2 linked regions of the Rattus norvegicus genome follow. The protein of the gene in region 2 interacts with the protein of the main gene of each other region in a biochemical or structural test. Links are inferred from orthologs where the notes say so. Each region holds a gene or a part of one and is shown on either strand. Other genes may lie near its edges.

What was found. The genes of interacting proteins can lie anywhere in the genome.
Region 1: the proteins of Chm (region 2) and Rab7a are reported together in a solved structure, tested with the Homo sapiens proteins (2 studies listed by BioGRID, with this or other methods). The link is inferred for Rattus norvegicus from reciprocal best matches to the Homo sapiens genes CHM and RAB7A.

What each region holds. Positions count from the first base shown.
Region 1 is NC_086022.1:122,029,890-122,039,777, forward strand, and holds part of Rab7a (ras-related protein Rab-7a), read right to left. Parts: intron 6,636-9,888; 5' UTR 6,628-6,635; coding exon 6,575-6,627; intron 3,522-6,574; coding exon 3,395-3,521; intron 1-3,394.
Region 2 is NC_086039.1:82,548,223-82,559,389, forward strand, and holds the start of Chm (rab proteins geranylgeranyltransferase component A 1), read right to left. Parts: upstream 5,822-11,167; 5' UTR 5,639-5,821; intron 1-5,638. UniProt on the Homo sapiens protein: Substrate-binding subunit of the Rab geranylgeranyltransferase (GGTase) complex.

The sequences.
Region 1 (9,888 bases), on a different chromosome or scaffold from region 2:
AAATTTCCAAAGTTTTAGAAACTTTTACTTCTTTTCTTCTCAAATCTGTATTGCCTACTTGTTCTCTGCAGATATAAGGTTTTTTTCTTTTAAATTAAAACCAATGTACTGAGTTCTAATTAGAGGTCTGTGGTAGAACACCCCCCCCCCCCGCCCCGCAAAGAAGGGAGGAAGTTCCAACATGTTAACTGGGTCTGAGAGTTCACGACTGCCTTCTCAGCACTTGGGAAGACGAAGGTAAAAGAACAGAAAGAGTTTGAGAGTAGCCTAGGCTATATAGAGTGAATCCCAACCTGTAAAAATAAATCAATTGCCACGGATGACCCTAAACTGTGACACCGGACCTGGCTCCTTTGTAAATATAAAAATCACTCTCAAGGACAAGGAGGTCACCACTGGATTTTTATCTGTGATGTCTTTCTTTTCTTATCTTTTACTACAAGCTGCTAAAACTCTTTTTTTTTTTTTTTTTTTTTGGTTCTTTTTTTTTCGGAGCTGGGGACCGAACCCAGGGCCTTGTGCTTCCTAGGTAAGCGCTCTACCACTGAGCTAAATCCCCAGCCCGCTAAAACTCTTGAGACATATGTAGGGCTCACTCAAGACTCTGCCCCATCATTCAGAAGCTGCCACCTCCTCCCGCTTTCTCCTGGATCCTTCTGTGCCATGGGTCTCCAGTGTGGCTCATCAGACGCTGGCTGTGGGGATGCACTGCAGCAGTGAGTGTGGCGAAACCTCAGTTCTCAACCCCGTGCTGGGTGCACTGACAGTGCAGGTCTGTGCAGCTCCTGCGCTTCACCTGATCGCCGCAGTGCTGTGAAGAACACCAAACACCAGCCTCGCCACCCTTCCTCCAAGTCACATTCTTTCTGGGGACTCTTGGGGCTGTCATTCTGTTTCCTGCAGTCTTGGGTTCCCTTTTGTTAAGCTGTCTTACTATGTTGCTCTGGCTATTTTTCCTGTGTAGACCAGGCTAGCCTCACAGAGGCTCACAGGACCGACAGAAGCCCACCTGCCCTGCCTCCCGAATGCTGGGATTAATGGTGTACGGCACTGCACCCAGCCAGGCTCCAGTTCTCTCTGACCCCTTGCCCAACCCCTCAGCTTACCCACGCTTCTAGAGTTTAACAGTGCCTTTCACTTACTGTGATGTTTTTTTTTCAGTTTTTTTAAGTTCTAAATTTTCCATATCTTCATTTTTATAGCAGCTTTTTCCATACTGGTTTCTATTCCTGTTTTAAGAAACTATATCACTGTGAAGGTCTTGATTTCCTCAAATGGCCAGGAGCATATATATCTCTCACTCCAATTTTAAGTGTCCCACAGAGTAATCTTGGTTTTTGTCAAGAATGGCATGTGTTTCTGTTAAATTCTGTGAGACAGAGTGTCCTACCTTTGAAGAGTATAAACTTAAATTCTATACACATCAAGTTGCACTGGGCACACAAACCTTTAATTTCAGCTCCTGGGGAGGCTTTGCAAGTTTACGGTCAGTGCCTGGGCATCTAAATGATACCCTGTCCTAAGACACTAGTTTTAAAAGATCTGGGGACAAAGACCAACAGCAGAGCATTTGTCTACTAGCACTTAAGAGACCCTAGGTTCAATTCCAAATTTCCCATCCTGCAAACACACAAAGGAACCACCACCCATGTGGACAGGTGGACAATGAGGCAATCTCAAACCCCCAAGTCCCACAAGTATTGCTCCATCTTTGGCCTGTCTCCCCGTCCTGTTTTTATACTCTTTGTGGGGACTGGACATGTGGTGTACGGGGGGTGCTGGGGATGAGGTGGGGAGTACAGGTGCGTCTCAGCTCTGGCCCCACACATGGGCAGTGTACATCTCCAGTCCTTTCAAAGCTAAAACTTAAAATCCAATCCCATCCCATCCCATGGCAGGAGCCTCTGAGCCTATCACAGTTTTACTTTCCGCTTTGTTCCAGAAATTTCTTTTTCTCAAATTTGGTGTCCTTAACTTTCACTCAGGTATTTTGAATATCTTCAGATCTATGTGCATATGTGTAGTTGGGCTGGGAAGAGGCTGGCTCACATTACCTCCATCCTAAAATGGTTCATACCTTACAGTGATTGCCTATCTGTCTCCTATTTCCTACTGTAGTGCTGGCTGGATAGATGCTCCTCTGGTATCTCTGGTTTTACATGGGTTCTAGAAATTTGAGCATGAACTCTCACATTTTGCATAGCAAGGACTTTCTTTATCCATGGAGCCATCTCTCCGGCCCCACACTTGTTTTTGTTTTAGTTATATGTATGCTTTGTATAGGTAGTGGAAAAGCAAGAACAAAGACCCTGTCTCAAAACAAGGTAAAAGCTGGCTAAGATAGTGTACACATTTAATCCTAGCAGTAAAGAGATTACTTCTAGGTTCAATGACAGCCAGGGCTACAAAGTAAGATCCTGTCTAAGAAACAGATGGATGGATGGATGGATGAGCTGAACAGAACTCAACTTTATAAAAGTTTTTATTTATGAGTTTGCCTGCACTTGTGCACCAATTTGCCTAGAGGGCAGCTCCCTTAGCACTGAAGTTGTGGACAGTGCTGAGAACTGAAGCTGAGTCCTCTCTAAAGAGCAGCTCGTGCTTTTAATCACTGAGTCATCAATTTAGGTTAGCCAACAATTAAATAGTTAAATATACCTTACTATATGCTGTAAGAACTTAGGAAAACCCAGAAAAATTTCTGAGCTAAAGCACTGGACAAAGACACTAAGATAAGCTACAGGATGGCTTATGACTTTAATCCCAGCATCCCAGGGCATCTTTATGAGTTCAGTCATGGATACACAGATACCAACCCCTCCAAAAGAAAATAAAAATGAAGACTTTTAGAACATAGAAGGGACCTATAATTTGCTGTTTAGAAAAGGAAAAGAAAAAGACAATAAATCTTGTTAAATTAAATCCCTAGTTGTAATATAAATTTAAAATTAGGATTGGGTTGTAGCTTAGTGGTGGAAGCATGTGCCCTCAGCCTACATGAGGCTAGGGTTCCATGTCCACCGTGTTCCCAACCAACAACCCTATCTGCACCAATTATCCATTTTCCACAAATATAAATCAGTCTGAAAAGCAGGGAGATGTGACAGACAGTTTAGATGTAATAAACTGGGTCTACAAGAGTTCAGCAGGTAAAGCTTGATGGCCTGTGTTCAATCCCTAGAACCCATATAAAGGTAGAAAGAGAACCAACTCCACAAAGTTGTAGACACACACACCCCCACCCCACCTCTCCTCTCTCTCTCTCGCTCTCTCTCTCTCTCTCTCTCTCTCTCTCACACACACACACACACACACACACACACACACACACACACACCCCATTTTAAAGGTTCAGTAAGCTAGCCGTCTGGCTACTGGCTGAGCAGAGGCTTACCTGCATGGTAACAAGTCTGTCATCCACCATCACCTCCTTGGTCAGAAAGTCTGCTCCTATTGTGGCTTTGTACTGGTTACTGAACTTCTTATTCACATACTGGTTCATGAGCGATGTCTTTCCAACACTGAAATTGGACAAAACCCACATGTCTAAGTCAAATAAGGGACCGAGAGGAATTTAGATTTACAATTTTAAAAGCAACCTGACTGGGCTAGGAAGATAGATCAGTTGGTAGAGTGCTTGCCGGACACAGACAAGGCCTGGGTTTAACTTCTAGTACCACAACAGTTTAAAAACAAAGCATTTATTAAAGGATGTCATGATTGAGAGAAACAGCTCCCATTCGGGGAGCACCAACAATCACCCTAGCATCACATACTAGGTTTGTATTTTCCTGGCATAGTGGAGGGGGAGGGGCTGTCAGGATAGCTCAGGAGGTGTGGCAGTCTGAATGAGAATGGCTCCCACGGGCTCATAATCTCTTGTGGAGAGGGTGGGGTTTAAGGTTTCAAAAGATTTGTGTGCATGTTTCCACACTCTACTCTCTCTACTTTCTCTCAGCCTAGTGGTTCTGAATCAAGACAGAAGCTCTTAGCAACTGTTCCAGTGCCATGCTACCATGTCACCATGCGCTCTCCCTCTGCAATTGTAAGCCTACAATAATAAACTTTTCTGTAAGTTGCCTTCGCCATTGGATCTCATCACGGCAGTAGCAAGGTAAGATAGTGGGTAAAGGCACTGCTAAGCCTAGTGACATGAGTTCAGTCCCCAGGATTCACTGGGGTGAGCAATGGGGGTGAGGGTTCCTGCAAATTATACTCTGACTTCTACACATGCACCAAGCATGTGCAACAACCCATAGACATAAACAAACACAAAATAAATACCCATACACACGTGCAAAAAAAAATACATGTGATTTTAAAAAATCCCATCAATTCCAGCATAGCAGTACAAAACAAAACTGCAAACACCTATCACACACAGAACACCATTTGTAAGATTCAGTACGGGCAGCCCAGGTGGGAAGCTAGTGCAACTCTTCCCTTCCAGAAGGAGACACACACACTCCTAAAAGGAGCCGAGAGAAGATCACCACTCTGCCACTCCAAACAGCACTGTAATCTCAGGTGTTTATGCATCGCTCAAGTAATACCAGGAGGGAGCCACTTGCTTCAGCAGGCTTTTTGTCAGTGCACAGCCAGAAAAGAATGTTCCGGGACAGGTGTTGCAGCACAGGTCTGGAATCCAGTGCTTGAGAGATGAGGTAGCAGCATGGGAAGCCTGACGCCAGCCTGGGCTGCACAGTGAGTTCAAGGGCATCGAGCCACGTGTTTTTTTGTCTCTATAAAAATAAAGTCCACACAAAACCCAACAAGAGCAGGGCCCGTATGACAGCCAAAGGGGAAGGCACCTGTTGCCCAGCTTGATGACCTAAATTCAATGCCCAGGATCCCACAGAAGGAAAAACAATTCTTGCACACTGTCTTCTGATCTTCATACCCACATGCACGTGCACATACATAATAAAAAAGTAAATGTAATTGATAAAAATTCAAAGAATGTTCCTCCCAAGGAATTGTTTTTACCAAGAAAATTTACCAACCAAGTGTTCAGGAAGAGTAGGGCCAAAGTTATGTGACCTGAAGACAGAGCTAAAGCTTTCCCTGTCCCTGTGTGGCTTTCCACCAAGAATCAAATTCACATTCAGATGACTTGGACCTATACACAGCCTAAGGCAGTAGTGCTTGTCAGGGGTATAGCTCAGTGCCTGAGGACCACTGGCCTAATATGTGAGCCCTTGGGTTCTGTCTCCAGTACTGCAGCACAATTAGAATTTACAGAGGAGTAGCAGTAAGATGTGTAATCCTCAAAGATCTTCAGACTCCTTTCAGACAAGTCTGGGCAGCACAGATCTAAGGACAGTATGTCATTTCTGACAGTACTGGGCAGGAGACCTTATTCCTACTGGAATGCAATTTCGGAAACAAGAAAATACTTGTTTAAGGGTTCCTTAAGCAATTCAAACAGGCCAAACAGAAAATCCATGGCTGTTTAAGGAAAAGAAACTTTGGAAAACAGGGACATAAATGCCTTTATTACTGTTCCTATTGCCCTCTTTCTCAGAGACAGGTCATGCTGCCCAGGCTACCTTCAACCTTTCAAGGCTTAGCTGATTTTCCCATCTCAGCCTTCCAAGTTGCAGGTATGTAACACTGTGCCAACTTCATCATGAGTCATTTAAGAAACCAAATGTGAAAACTGGAGTAGAAAACAATTGGGAGACAGAGGCAGGCAGATCTCTATGAGCTCAAGGCCAGCCTGGTCTACACAATGAATTTCAAGACAACCAGAGCTACATGGTAAGACCCTATCTCAAATCTCTTGCCCCAAACCTACCCCACATAAAAAAAGGGGGGTGGTACTCGGCAATCTTTTAAAGATTTATTTATTTTATGCATGTGATTACACTGTCACTGTTTTCAGACACACCAGAAGAGGGCATCAGATGCCATTACAGATGGTTGTGAGCCACCATGTGCTTGCTGGGAATTGAACTCAGGACCTCTGGAAGAGCAGTCAGTGCTCTTAACTGCTGAGCCATCTCTCCAGTCCCTACTAGGCAATCTGAATAGCAACTGAAAAATTGATTACTTGGTGAGTTGAAGATCTAGAAACAAAATGCAGTCCTCTGGCTTTGACTTTTCCACATACAAGCCCTGGTCAGGCACAGCAGCAGAAAGGCAATGCACACGTGTGCAGAGCCCACATCTGCATAGCAACAACAGATCATGAAAACAACCGTTCCTGGTCTGGCCAGATGGTACAGAAGAGAATCCATGAAAAGTGACTATCATTTACTGGGTTCAGTCCCCTCTCCCCTCAAAAGAAACCCAAACCCAAGCGTGTTAAAAGAAATGGTGATGCAGCTGTAGTAGAGTGCATGCCTAACATGCCCTGGGTTACAGTTCAAAGAAAACACAACCACACAGGACATGCACACACACCCATACTAAAAGGGGAAAAAAAGAGCAAAAATACACACCAAAGGACTATCAAATTTCTGCTAAATCCAGTAGTAAAGGACAGGGGACAGACCCAGAGTAGAATGTGGAGCTGTCTTGAGATGGCTCTCCAAGACGATCTTGTGAGGTCAAATTCATGAGGAACACTTACCCAGAGTCTCCCAGGATGATGACCTTCAGCAACACTTTCTTCCTAGAGGTCATCCTTGAAGCTGTAGGAAGGAGAAAGCACAGGTGAGCTGAAGAAACACCAAGGCAGACACTGTCCTTTGCTGCCACTCCAACAGGAGCTGAGCCCCAGCCTTCATTCAGACTGCCCCGGGAACCTGTGAGTCCTTAGCTGACCTCGGTTCTCTCTCAAGTGCTGGGTCCATTACTGGCATCAGCAGTTGGGATTAATACTCCAAACAGACTTAAGAGTTCTACAAGTGAAGATTAAGCATTACTTTCTCAGCGAAGGAACCTATTCCCTTCCTTCCCTTTCCCCCTTCCCTTCCTCCTTTTCTTTTTCTTTTTGAGTCAGTGTTTCTGTGTTGTTCTGGCAGACCTGGAAGTCACTGTAGACCAGGATGGTCCCTAACTCAGAGATCTGTTGGCCTCTGCCACCTGGGTACTGAGATTAAAAGTGTGTGCCACCACTGCCAGCTAGGAACCACTTTATTTAAGGAGCACCCTGTGTTGGATAGTTTTATGTCAACTTGACGAAAGCTAAAAGTCATGAGAGAGGAGGGAGCCTCAATTGAGAAAATATCCCTGTAAGATCGGGCTGTAAGTCTGTAGGCCATCTTCTTAATTAGCGATTGATGGAAGAGGGCCCGGCCGTCTGTGTGTAGTGCCACCCCTGCCTGAGATTTCTATAAGAAAGGAGGCCAAGCAAGCCACAAGGAACAGTCCAGGAAATAGCAATCTCCCATAGCTTCAGCCCCAGCCCCTCTTTGGCTTCTCTCAATGAACTGTTACTTGGATATGTAGGCCAAATGAACTCTCCCTCCTCAAGATGCTTTGGGTCATGATGTTTCATCCCAGCCACTGTAACCTACGACACGACACCCCCTCTCCCAACTACTGTTTGCTGCTTTAAATTAAAACACATATATCTAAATATATACTATTTATATTCTCCATTTTCTAACATTCTCCATGAGGACAGTTTTATTTTCTACGTGCCTGGTGTCAAGTAAAGAATTATCAAACACAAGATTAGTGGAGTGGATGAACAATACTTCACAGTGCAACTCTAGGGACAACCTTTTCCCAAAAACCTAGGCAGCCTTTGCTTGCATGACCATACAGTACGTAAGATACTGACTGACCCCTGGTTCACACTTCCAGCACTTGTCAGTCCTTGAGCTATTAACAAAGAAAGAACGTCTGAGTCAATGAGTGGGTTTCCAAAACACTACTTGTTGGCTAAGTACTGTATGTAAACTGGCAGGCACTGGTTGCTATTATTTGAATGTATGTCCCAAACACAGGTCAGACAGAGAACACAGCAGAACACAGTCCAGATGACAAGGGAAAAAGTTGCAAGCCACAGTTCAGGGGCTGTCTGCCAGCTGCTTTTGCAGTGTGTGACAGCACACCCAAAAGCACATAGGAGATACGGTACCAACTGGCTTACAAAGAAGTGGAACCCTATGTCCCTCAAAGGGACTGTTTCCATTGTTTCTGGCTATAGAGACAGTGTGGAGACAGGAACGATATCTCATAAACTAATGAAAAACTATTTGCTATGACAAAAAAAATAGTTCCTTGAAATGATTTATCTTGGATCACAGTTTCAAAGGCAACTGGGCAGTTGCAAGGATTGCGGGCCCACAGTAAGATAGAACATCACAGCAGGGAGTGAATGAAACTGGTGCCATCACGATACAGAAAGCATACAGCAAGAAAGCCTGTGTGTGCACTAGGCTTCCTCCTGGCCCCTTTTTTCCCCATCAGTCCCCATTCCCACCTGCAAGGTAGGTATGGTATAACCCACATTCAAAGAATGTCTCCCTACTTAACTGTCTCTGGGGTCAGCAACATGGCTCAGCAGTAAAGGCACTTGCCTCCAAACCTGATGACCTGAGCTCAATTCCTGGTCCTAAAGACTGGAAGGAGAGAGCCAACTCCTGAAAGTTGTCCTCTGACCTCCACACGTATGCTGGGACATGCATACACATATAAACACAATAAAGTAAATACAATAAAAAATTACTTCTGGAAATGCTATCACAGACATGCTCAAAGACAAGCTTTACTCATCTCCTAAATATCTCTCAGTCGAATGACGTTGGCAACCAGGATTAACCATCAAAGTCTGGCTACTCTCATTGCCCAACACCCCCATTCACAGCTCAGTCTATAACAACTTGTTAAGCTCAGTGACACTGGTAAGAAAAACAGGTGCTAGGGCCAGGTACAGACTGTGTAAAGAAGTGACCCTCAGAGACTATTTATTTCCTTCAGCCACCCGTCGTCATACCTAGAGTTTTCTCATACTCTAAACCATACACTACATATGGAGCCTTGCCTCCCCACAAACTGCGTTGACTCAGCAAGGTTTCAGTCTCATCGAAGGTCTAGTATCACTTCTGTTTTGTTTTTCAAGACAAGGGTTTCTCCATGTAACCCTGGCTGTCCTCAAACTTAAAGAGATCTGCCTGCCTCTGCCTCCCAAGTACTTTAATCCCAAGATTAAAGGTATGCACCACTACTGCCTGGCTAGTATCACTTTTTGGGATGGATTACACTATGTCAGTGGATAGTTTTGTAAAACTTTCTTTTCCTTTCTGTTGGGGGAGGGGGTGTTAGACAAGGCCTCACTATGTAAACCAGGCTGGTACAGAACTCACAGAGACCCACCATGGCCTCTGTCTCCTGACTGCTAGGATTAAAGCACCACATGGCTTGGCCATAGCTTGATTTCTTAGTAGCCCTTTTGAGTATCAGAAAGGAAGCACCATGCTCAGGCTCTGCTCATGCATACTGATCAAATCTGTTTCCGTCCTGGAGTCTCTGCTCCCTGGCAGCGCCCACAGAGCGCCTAGCATGCTGACGCTGCTGCAGTGATGAGACACCTCTGAGTCATTTTCTTCCTCTTCCAACTCTGGAAACTACACAGGTTGCTGCTCCAAAGCCATCAAATCCCCACAGCAGCAAACAGTGTTTTGAGCATAGGATTTGGTTATTTTTTAATTCTCACATGTTGTTAATTTATGAAAAATGTGGAAAGGATAATGTTGTGAATGGGGTTACACATTGCTTTGTGGTCAGAGAGCATGTCTAGCCCATGCAAGGCCCTAGGTCTGATCCTCAGCACTAAAGGGAGATGGAGAGAGGAAAGAAGGAGAAAGGAGAAAGAGAGAGAAGTATGTATCTCTGAACTCTATCTGTTGTACACTTCTCCTTGGGAGGCAGCAGGAGCTGAAGCAGTATTCAGGGGTGGAGAGATCTTTCAGACCCACAGCTTTTACACATGGT
Region 2 (11,167 bases):
AAAAAAAATGCCAACCTAAGCCTAGAGCAAACTAATCAAATTTTTGGAGGATATGGTGCTTCTTTTCACTTAAAAAAAATTCAACAATCTCAATTCAGTATCTCAATTCTAGTTGTCAATAACTTGTCTAACCTATACAACGTAGGTCAAAATTGGCAAAATCTAGGGTTTTACACTTACTTGAGGTGAGATAATATTTACTCCAGAACTGGTAGTAGTAAGAAACCATTTATTATACCAAATTGATATGGACAAGCATGTATTGAAAAACACTAGTGGGGGGGATAGATGCTAGAAAATCAAGCCAGCCTAAGTGCTTTGTAAAATCTAGTTTGAGATGAAATAAAGTAAGTTGCCTCTGTTTCCTCAACTATTCGTAATCTGTTTAGGGTTTGCTTTGGTTTGTGTTTTGAGAGATTGCTGTTTGTTTTGCTGATGTTTTCCATATCTGCCTCAGTATGAAAACATGTCAACTCTTAAAATCATGCTCCGATAAATCACTAACTGTGGCAAATTATTGTCTCTTTGAATACTGTCCTTTAAATTATTAGAAAAACAAAAAGCAAATCTTTAGAAAAGCATCCTTATTCTACTAACAACAACTACATGTCTCCCGAATTCCCAATCTTCTACACTACAGATTATACACAGGGCATAGATAGACAGACATTAGCTCTAAGGCTTTATACACACAGCAGGAACAGCCTAACTTTTCAGTTCTCCCTGAAACTGAATGGCAGATGATTTCACATGAGTTACAGGTCAATTATATGGAATCATAATTGTTTCTGTGCATTGGGATTTTATGTTAAACACGAGGATGTGAGGTTGAGCAAGCACATTTGATTTTAATTGCTGTAGCCTGAGTTATCCAAAACATCATGAGAACACTGGAGAAAATGAGAAAATGACAAGCAGCACGGGAGATGAAAACGATGCTGCCCAGGGAACTTTGGTAACAGATGCGGCTCTCTCTGAGGGACTGGCTCAAATTTATGATTTACAGAGCAGCTCAGAGAATCCTCGGAATTAAATAAATCCTCCTTACTTTGTTAGGTCTCGAAAGAAGAAAAGATGACTTTCCTACCAAAAAAAAAGAAAGAAAGAAAGAAAGAAAGAAAGAAAGAAAGAAAGAAAGAAAGAAAGCTCAAAGAAGTACAAATTAAAACAGCAAGATCTGTAGGCGTTCTTTACCTCCTACCTCTTAGCAATGAAAAAGCACTTCACACTATGTTCTCAGTTAAAATGAATGATAAATCTATTTAAAACAGATGATAAATAATTCAAACTGGTGAAGCAAACTCAAAACTAAAAAATAAAAAAGGAATATCTATAAACTACCAGATAAAAAATCTGATTTAGCAAAAAGTGTTAAAAATCAAAGGTCTTTCTAAGCAAGCAGCTAATGGGAAGAGGAAGATAATGAACCTTACATTACCATCCTTCCAGGACTCTCCATGAAAATCATGAGCTCTTCCTTGATGTCCTTCAGGCAATACTAATGATAATAAAAGCACTTCACTATGGCTTTCAGGCCATAAAAAAAAATCACCTATATTATGTAAGCATTTTATAGGAAGTATTTCTTCAATATTTAACACAGCTCAATGAAATTCATCTTATTTAGAAATAAGGTGAAACTTAAGAACAGCTAAGGGTGTACCTAATGGGGCACACAAAGCATAGGTGGGATTCAAATTCTATCATCACCTTATCACACTGCTCAAATGAGATACATGCATGTAAAAGTATGCGTAATATATGGGAGGTGTCTTAGTTAGGGTTTTACTGCTCTAAAGAGGCACCATGATCAAGGCAAGTCTTATAAAGGGCAACATTTAATTAGAGCTGGCTTACAGGATTCAGTCCATTATCACGAAGGCAGGAACATGGCAGTGTCTAGGCAGGCATGGTACAAGACGAGCTGAGATTTCTACACCTTCATCTAAAAGCTGCTAGAAGCCTTGCTCCCAGGCGGCTAAGCCAAGGGTCTTAAAGCTACACTTCCTCCAACAAGGCTACACCTATTCCAAGGCCATACCTCCAAATAGTGCCACTCCCTGGGGTAAACATATTCAAACCACTACAGAAGGTCTAACACTGATGAATCTAAAGGACTTTTGAAATACTACTTTCAATTTTATTGACTATTAAGTTGCTTACCATTCTATAGGCATTATTTTTTGTGTATAAAGATATTTTATTATATGTATTTTATCATTTATTATATGTATTATGATAAATTGAGTAATTTAAGGGCTAGCATCCATTTCGTGAATTACAGAGAAGTGCCAACTTGCTTTTTAAAAAAGAAAGCCACTCTCAACAACAGGTATAAGAATGCAGATATAGGGAAGGATTATGTGTCCATTGTGATAAGAGAAGCACACACAAACATGCTAAGATATAAATATTGTAAGTCACTTGTACTGAGCCTCACTTCCAGACAATTTAGCAAATATCAGTTTTTACACCACTTCCTACAGCATTACTATCCTCCAAGGTTTAGAAACCATACCCTACTGCTATCTGAAATATTAAAATCCTTGAATGAGCAGCCAGCCAAAATTAACATCAGTGCTGCAATTTGAAACATCAAGAATGGGACTGTACTATTTACATGAACATTCCTAAAAAGGCAGCTTACCATTTAAATATATATATTTACCTGCACACAATGGTAAATCCTTTAGAGAAGCCAGCTCTTTAAAAAAAAAAAAACAATGAATAGGGCTGGGGATGTAGCTCAGTACAGGACTTGAAGAGCATATGCAAAGGCTGAGGTTCAAGGACCACCAGGACAAGACTCGAGGGAGGGAGTGGAAAAAGAACAGATCTAACTTCTTTAAAGAAATACCTATGAAATTAAATAAGCTAGCTTACAAAGTATCTTAGAGGAGGAACTTCTACCCAAAGATAAAGCAGTATAGTTAAGAAAGAATAGCATGCAGACTAAATTCCTACATGGTATTCTGAAAACATAAATAACCAATGACATGAAAAATGTCCATGGTTCTAAGAAAAATTGTGGAATTTTAACTCTGAGGAAAGCCAAAAAGTTCCTAAGAAAAAACAATATGTTAAATATTACAACCACAATAGGAGTACGTACTTGATGGCAGTAAAGTATTACAAGTATTGATTGTGTGTGTGTGTGTGTGTGTGTGTGTGTGTGTGTGTGTGTGTGTTTACACTAAACAATGTCAAGGTATTATGCCACTTCATGTATTTCCCTTTCTTATATAGATAGAAACTGCCAATCACTTGTACATCTAATAGCACAACCCAAACATATTCTTGGTAACAGTTTATGCCTCCGAATGATGTGGTTATAGTATATTCTAAGCAGCTAGAATTCTTTCTAAAATAACAATATATTCCAAGTGAAGAGCTGAAGAATGTCCCTATATATGACATATGTCAATATTATCATATAATCCTTATAACTTAGATTTCTTCTGCACTTTTAACTTCTTGGCTTTGCTGGAGATTATACAAGTTACCAGAAAAGTCACCTTTAGGACCTGTAACTAATGATAACTTTTCCACACACCCCAAAATTGTCATGAAAATTACACTTTAAATGCCAAACTCTTCTGAAATGACATATGTACCAAAGCCAAAGATCACATTCTAAGAATTTGTGTCCATTTTCTTCCCCACCAAGATTCCAATTGGTTTTCCCTCTTTAATCTTTTTTTTAATCTTTCCCCCCACAATTCAAGTACTGTATCTTAATTCTGTTCCTTTAGGTATTCTGATATAATTTTCCCATATCTTGAAACTATGACCTTAAAGGAAACTTTAATCCATGCCATGCAAAAAGTAAAGATGCACATTATTTAAGGTTGATAAACTTTTAAAGCATTCTTAGATGATGCTACATGATGAAGCAATTGTCTTCTGATGACAGTTTAACTAAACAGTTGTTAAAAGGGAGCTACAACGCACAGCTCTTTCTTATAATGACATGCTTCATTATGCTTTTGATAACAGAACCCAAGTTATAAAACACTGCTTTACCTACAAATTTCCTAAGTGCAAATTTAATACAGTCAACACATTTAAAGTCTACCCTTAGCAATGTATTTGAGAAGGAAATCACAATGTTTCAATAACGAAGCCAATTAAAAGCAATGATTGAAATCTTAAGAATGATTTTATTTAAAAAATGACTTTCAACAAATGTTTTCACTTTTAATGTATCTAAAAGAATTAAAATAGCTAAGAAAAATAACACATCACCCAAATAAATACAGAGACTCCAAGTATAATTTAAAAAAGACTTATTCTAAAATGGATGGCGTTTTCGGTTTTAGGCAGGCACACTGGGGAAACTGAACGTTCTACTTCATCTTTCAAGCTCTCCTTTAACATCTGCTCATTCCAGGAAGCACCAGGTTAGCTGCTCAGCGGTTATCTTCAGGCTGGGAGCAAACACACCCCCACTGTTCTGAGAACAACTTACCCAGGTACATCTAGAATATGAGAATCTGTGTTCTGGATAATACCTTAAAGGCTATCTGAGTTACCTTCCTTATATTCAAAATGGTAGAAATTGAACCGCTTGAGACCCTCCCATTGCATAATCTAGAGCAGGTTTCCCTGGTATTTGTGATAACATAGTTCAAATTTGAGTCAAAAACAAAACAAAACAAAAAACAAACAAAAACCCCTGAATTCCATTTCTTGGATGGTATTAGCCACTGGACATTTACTAGCTGTGTGATTTTGGCAAGTTAGACTTCCAAGCTGCTTCTTTTCTTTTGTGTACTGAAAAGGATACCAATTTTACCAAGGTTTTTGACCGGATTATATGAAGTGCTTAAGTTCATTGATTAGGGAACGGTAAGTATTAGAAAATGGGTTGCTATCACTTTTACTCTAAACCTGAAAATATAGCTGTTCTTACTGTTTGGTAAGAAAGCAAACAGAATTCATTAACACAACAGACAAGATCCCAATGACCAAAGCTTCTATGGCCTAGCATATTCTAAGACAGTAGAATCCGCCCCCCTCCCCAAACTATCTCTTTTATCCTATGCAAACTTACAGTTAAGATAAGAATAGCTAATTGTCGCCAAGCATTATAGGATTAACTAGTCAACTAGAAGCTGAAAAGGATTTCTGGCTCCACCCAAAACATGGAGAACAAATGATGGAAGAGCTAGGGGAAGCTGAGCTCAGACACGGGTTGTGGAACACTGGAGCTTACTCTCAGCACATCTAGTTGTGGTGTGTTAATAGGTGACAGAAAACAAGATGCTTTCTGCATTATGAACTAGGATGCTTTAAACTTCGTAATGCAGGAACCTCAAGAAAAAAAAAATACTTAACTACTCAACACAACAGGGAAGAGTACTTTTTCTTTCCTTTAGTAAAAATACACACGTGTAACGACTGAGTATCATTTTTATAAAACTGCAAATTAGGCTGCATCTGAGCTGCAATGTACCCTAGCTCATGTAAGTATATGGGGGCGTGCGGGGGGAGGGGGGCGTTCTATGAAATGGCGACCTGAAACGATGGGGAATATAACCTTGAAATCAACAAGGAGGGAAGGTGGCAATTATTTGTGCCAACGGCGTCTCCATTGATCAAATCCCGATCCTCCATTGTCATGACACTGCAAACCCACCTTCCTCTAAGGAAATTAACAGGAATCACCACAGCAACCAACCTCAGCAATCGGCATCGACCAGATCGACCCCTACTCAAATGGCGCAAAACACCGCGGGTCCAAGCCCCTCCCTGGAGCTGCCAAGTCCCGCGCTGACTCCAGACTACCTCACTTCCTTTCTGTCCTCCCTCCCAGGCTCGACCCCCGCCGTTTCTTGCCAACCCTCACCACTGACAGAGAAAATAAAAAGCGAGAATTATTTTCTATATTTTGTCCAGCGAAAATCAGGGCCACACATACCCGTCCCTATTACGATCACATCAAAGTCCGAAGGGAGATTATCCGCCATCTTGACAGGAAACGTGTCATGTGACTGTAGTTTGTAGCTGTGAATTTCTAAGGCACTACCTAGGTAGAAAGCGGAAGGAAAAACAGTGCATTCTGGGTGTTGTAGTTTTAGGGTAGCGGGTGCAGGTAGGCGACAACAGAGTAGCATTAAAATGTTAATGCAAATGGTAAAAGCTAGATTTATTTCACAGACTTCAGTGATATACCTTACTTATCCTAGCAGTTTGATATGGAAATGAAACGTAATTATTCGACTCCTCAAGCAAGGATGAATGAGGAAAGTTTGTATACCCCTTTGACAATTACCAAGCAAAAATTGATCAGAGATGCTCAGGCAGTAGTGAAATTCAAAGGGGCTCACTTTGAACAAATGAATCATTCAAGCCAGGAAAACTGTTTCCCCTAGCATGTCTGTATTTGCATTTTTAGAACCTGAGGAATCTCTTTTCACTTTATACCAATACTGTCTTTTTGTCTCTGTGCCTTCCCAGAGAGAATAGAACCAAACAAAAAACTCTTTGCCTAGTTTCCACAGAATAGAATTCCTCACAGAATTTCAAATTGCCGCCTAGCAAAGTAAGTTACAACATTAACTTTGCTTTAGAGATGGCAGTGAGAGTGGGGGATGGGGGAGTGTGAAAGAGTATTAAAGAATAGTAGATGGTTTATAAATCTTTTGTTTCAGAATCTGATTTTCTGCCAAAATAAGGAGAACGCATACAAGTTTCTCCTGCAATGTTGAGGAGAAATGATTAACATTAAATAGATTTAATATGGAAGTGGGCATATTTGATAAGGGAGCTTAAGACTGTCTATGTCAAGCAGTTAATATAACTCTCATGAGTATTTTCAAGGTCTGTCAGCTCACACTCTACCTTATTTAAAACACATTTGTCTGAAAATAGTAAAGCAAAAATAGGCAATGGGGTACACTGTAGTGAGTAAAGTACTTTTTAATCCAAGGAATCATTTTTATAGCTATTTTTCGAGAGTTTCAAAATAACAATCCTTTATACTATCTACAGTCTCAGCTACTTATCATTCTCCATACATTGTTTCCTTCTTAATCTCTATGACCTCCCCACATTAGCTCTTCCTTCAACAATGAATAATCTTCTCAACCTCTAGGTAACATGCTTAATAACAAATAAGGGATACACTTAATATTATTAAAGCATTAAGTGATGTATGTGTTTCTAAAGAACACATGATTCCATGTAATTATGCACAACTTTACGTATCAGTTAAAAATAATAAAATAAAGGGGAAGCTACAAATGTACTTCAATGTTTAAGATCACAGACTGCTCTACTACAGGACCAGATTCTATTCCTATGCTCCCTATGCTTGTATGGTAGCTCACAACCTTGTATAACTCTAATTCCAAGGGAATTCTTTTCTGGCCTCCTGAGGCACCATATGCACATAGTACAGAGACAAACACACAGACCCACACATTAAAAAAACAAACTTGTGAAATAATAAGCATAATAAAAGAAAAGCAAAAAGAAACCATTGGAAGAAAAGTAATCAAATTTTTAAGAGATTCATTTAGGCCAGCCTAGAATGCTAAGCTTTCCAAGTATTGATAATAATATGTACAGCTAGCAAGATAGGTTTAGTAATATTGTAAGATTTAGTTCAGCTTCTGTTTTATCTTTTCCTCCTTCCCTATATTATACTACTTCCACTTTATCATATCCTGCTACATTGCTCTAAAAGTTCATGTATGTTGACTCCTATATAGTACTCATCACCCACACACACATACAAAATATACATCCAGACGTAACATATTATAAAATGTAAACTTTGGCATGTCAAATGCCATTTTTACCCAATGCACTTAATCTAAACTTGTTTTTACAGTAACAATTCAACAAATATTTCCTGAACTGAAATTAATCGTGACTTCTTTGACAGATAGTGAGGTAATGACAAACTATATCATTTGACCTTGATATCTACCTGTCACTTTAAAAGTCACTTTTATTTGCCTTATGTAATTGTCACCTCAGAGGCTTACTGCTCAATGAACACACCCTTTCTATTCTTTCTGAATATGGCTGGCTGGTTCAACTCAGCTGTTTTGGCTCAAACTCCTCTCCAATTTGGCTGGTTCAACTTGGCTTCTCTCAACTTCTCAGTTGCTTGGCCTCAAACTAACTCTGGCAATTTGTTCTAAGCTTTCTGGATACATATTCACTGGCTTCAACTGCCTTGCTGATCTGCAATGAATTGCAGGAACTCACAAAAGAACTCAATTGACTAAACTGAACTCATCTAAATTTCCTGTGCTGCCATTAAATAGCTTCTCTTTCCTGTACTGTTCTCATGAGAGTTAGATGTATCCTATTTCTGACTCATTCTGTCAAATCTTTGTCTGATTCATCATGTTATCTGGCCCTTAATTAGATAGACATCACTTTCAACCATAGTTGCTTCATTCTACAAACTAATTTTACCTTAAAGTTGTATACTAAGTATATGTCTGTACTGGCTGGTTTTGTGTGTCAACTTGACACAAGCTGTAGTCTTGGGTTCTATAAGAAAGCAAGCTAAGCAAGCCAGGGGAAGCAAGCCAGTAAGTAACATCTCTCCATGGCCTCTGCATCAGCTCCTGCTTCCTGACCTGCTTGAGTCCCGGTCCTGACTTCCTTTGGTGATGAACAGCAAGTGGAAGTGTAAGCTGAACAAACCCTTTCCTCCCCAGCTTGCTTCTTGGTCATTATGTTTGTGCAGGAATAGAAACCCTAAGAAAATGTCTGTATTCCAGCCAGACGGATTAAACATGTGTGGCACGTCTGCATTCCAGTCAGATCACACAGACCTAAATCTTTGGATGCGATCCCTTTTCAGAGCAGCCATGTTGATTGATTAAAATTCCTCTACATGCCACAATTAAGTGCCTTAATTTTTTTAAGATGTTTGATAATTTTTTTATTTTTAAAAGTACCATGAGAACTGTTTTAAAAATAAATTTTAATAGATATGCTTTCTGCACTTTTGTACACTTTGGTACAATAATTATCAATATTGTAGTTTTCTTAATTTTGTTTATGGATTACCATGTTATGCCACAGCATTCTCTTGTGGTATGATTCAATAAGGAATCTCTTGCAAAATATATTCCTTGAAAGGTACAACATATTATTCACTAAGTCACTACATTATTTGACTTGCTATGACAAAAAAGCTTTGAGTATTATCAGAACTGAAATAGATGTTATCTATGAAGTGCCCAATATACCAATAAAAATGTAAACTAAAACAGCCCAAAGAAAATACAGGAATCTTTCCAAAATCTCTAGCAGTGGGAAACACAATAAGATAGAATACAAACAAACAACAAAATATGGGTATACATTCAAGGATGCACATAGTACGATCACATTATGTTTTAAAAATATGAATAACTTATTATGACTCATAAAATTTCCTTATAAACACAGTGTGAAAAATAAAAGTCACTAATAAATTTAGTTATTCTTTAATAATCATGAATCTTCTAGTAAGTGAATGGGTTATAATAAAATGCTGAGATATGAACAAATAACAGACAAATGTCCTGTCTTTGGAAGGTTTATGTGTAATTCTGCTGAATTTCTAGTCTGTCTTGCCCCATATTTGAAGTTTTATTTCCCTTGAAGATCAAAGCCTGGTATTCATGAAGAAAATATTACCAACATGTTTAGCTGTATTTTTCTGAGTATATGATATTTTTATAAATCTATCATACATTAAAAATTGTCACTGTATTAAAATATAAATCTTCTTTGTGAAGAAATGTTACAATGTCTTTTAAAATAAACATTGTTTATATTTTATGTAAATAAATAATACAGGACTTTACAATGTCAGGAAATGGCATAAAACAAAACAACTAGAAATTGTTGGCTGTTCTTCCAAGGACATCTATTTTTGAGAGTTGAAATATTTTGATAAGTCATAGTAGAATGAATTGTATCTAAGAAATAAGCACCTATTAAATAATCATAACACCAATTTTATTCCTAAAGGTTTTCTGAGTTGAAAACAATAATTTCTTATTATATATTGCGTTTAAAAGTACATTTTACTATGAAAAGATTAAGTTTCTACAAAGGTTTTTTTCTCTCTAGGATCTTTCTTCTCAATTCTAGAACTATATTTAACTCCTTATTTTCTTTTCCGAATGTCCACTACTGTGCTCCAAAATATTCCAATTACATTCCTAAAATGTCTCTTCATATGATATTCACTATCTTAGATACAGTTCCACCTTCTACTCACTTAAATCAAAATTGCAAAAATCACCCTGAGCTCATGCTTTCCTTCTTCTCTTAAACTATATCAATACTCATACCAGATTTGTCTTTAAAATATACTGCAACAGTGTCCAGTAGTTTACTATACCAGACATTAGTTCCATCTTGTGGAGTGTGCCTAAATCCAATCAGAAAGTGGCTAGTCACTCCCACAACATTCATGTCACTATTGCACTGCCCCCCATATCTTGACAAGATGCTCAGTATTGCAGCTCATAGGGTTCACAGCAGGATAAGTTCTTTTGGGTTTTCTTTGTTTATTTGTTTTTGTTTGTTTGTTTTATGGCTGTTTCTCCTCTGGTAGAATAAATATTCCTTAAGCACTGTGAAACCTATTCAGAGGAAATAAAGCTACCATGTCGATATCAGCTTTATTTCTCTGTGTCCAATAACTAAAGATGGGACAAAGCCTTAGTGGAGAACCCAATTCCATTGTCATACTAAATGACATAGTATTAAACTGCCCCACCTGGGGATCCAGTTCATATACATACAGACACCAAACCCAGACACTATTGCTGATGCCAAGAAGGGCATGCTGACAGGAGCCTGATATAGCTGGCTCCTGAAAAGATCAGCCAGAGCATGACAAATACAGAAGTGAATGCTCACAGTCAACCATTGAACTGAGACTGGGGTCGCCACTGGAGGAGTTAGAGAAAGGATTGAAAGAGCTGAAGGGGTTTGCAACCCCATAAGAACAATGCCAACCAACCAGAGCTCCCAGGAACTAAACCATCATCCAAAGAGTACACATGAACAGATCCATGGCTCCAGCTGCTTATGTACCAGAGGATGACCTTGTTGGGCACTAATGTGAGGAGAAGCCCTAGGTCCTGCCAAAGCTCGTCCACCCTCGCCCCAATGTAAGGGAATGTCAGGATGGGGAGGT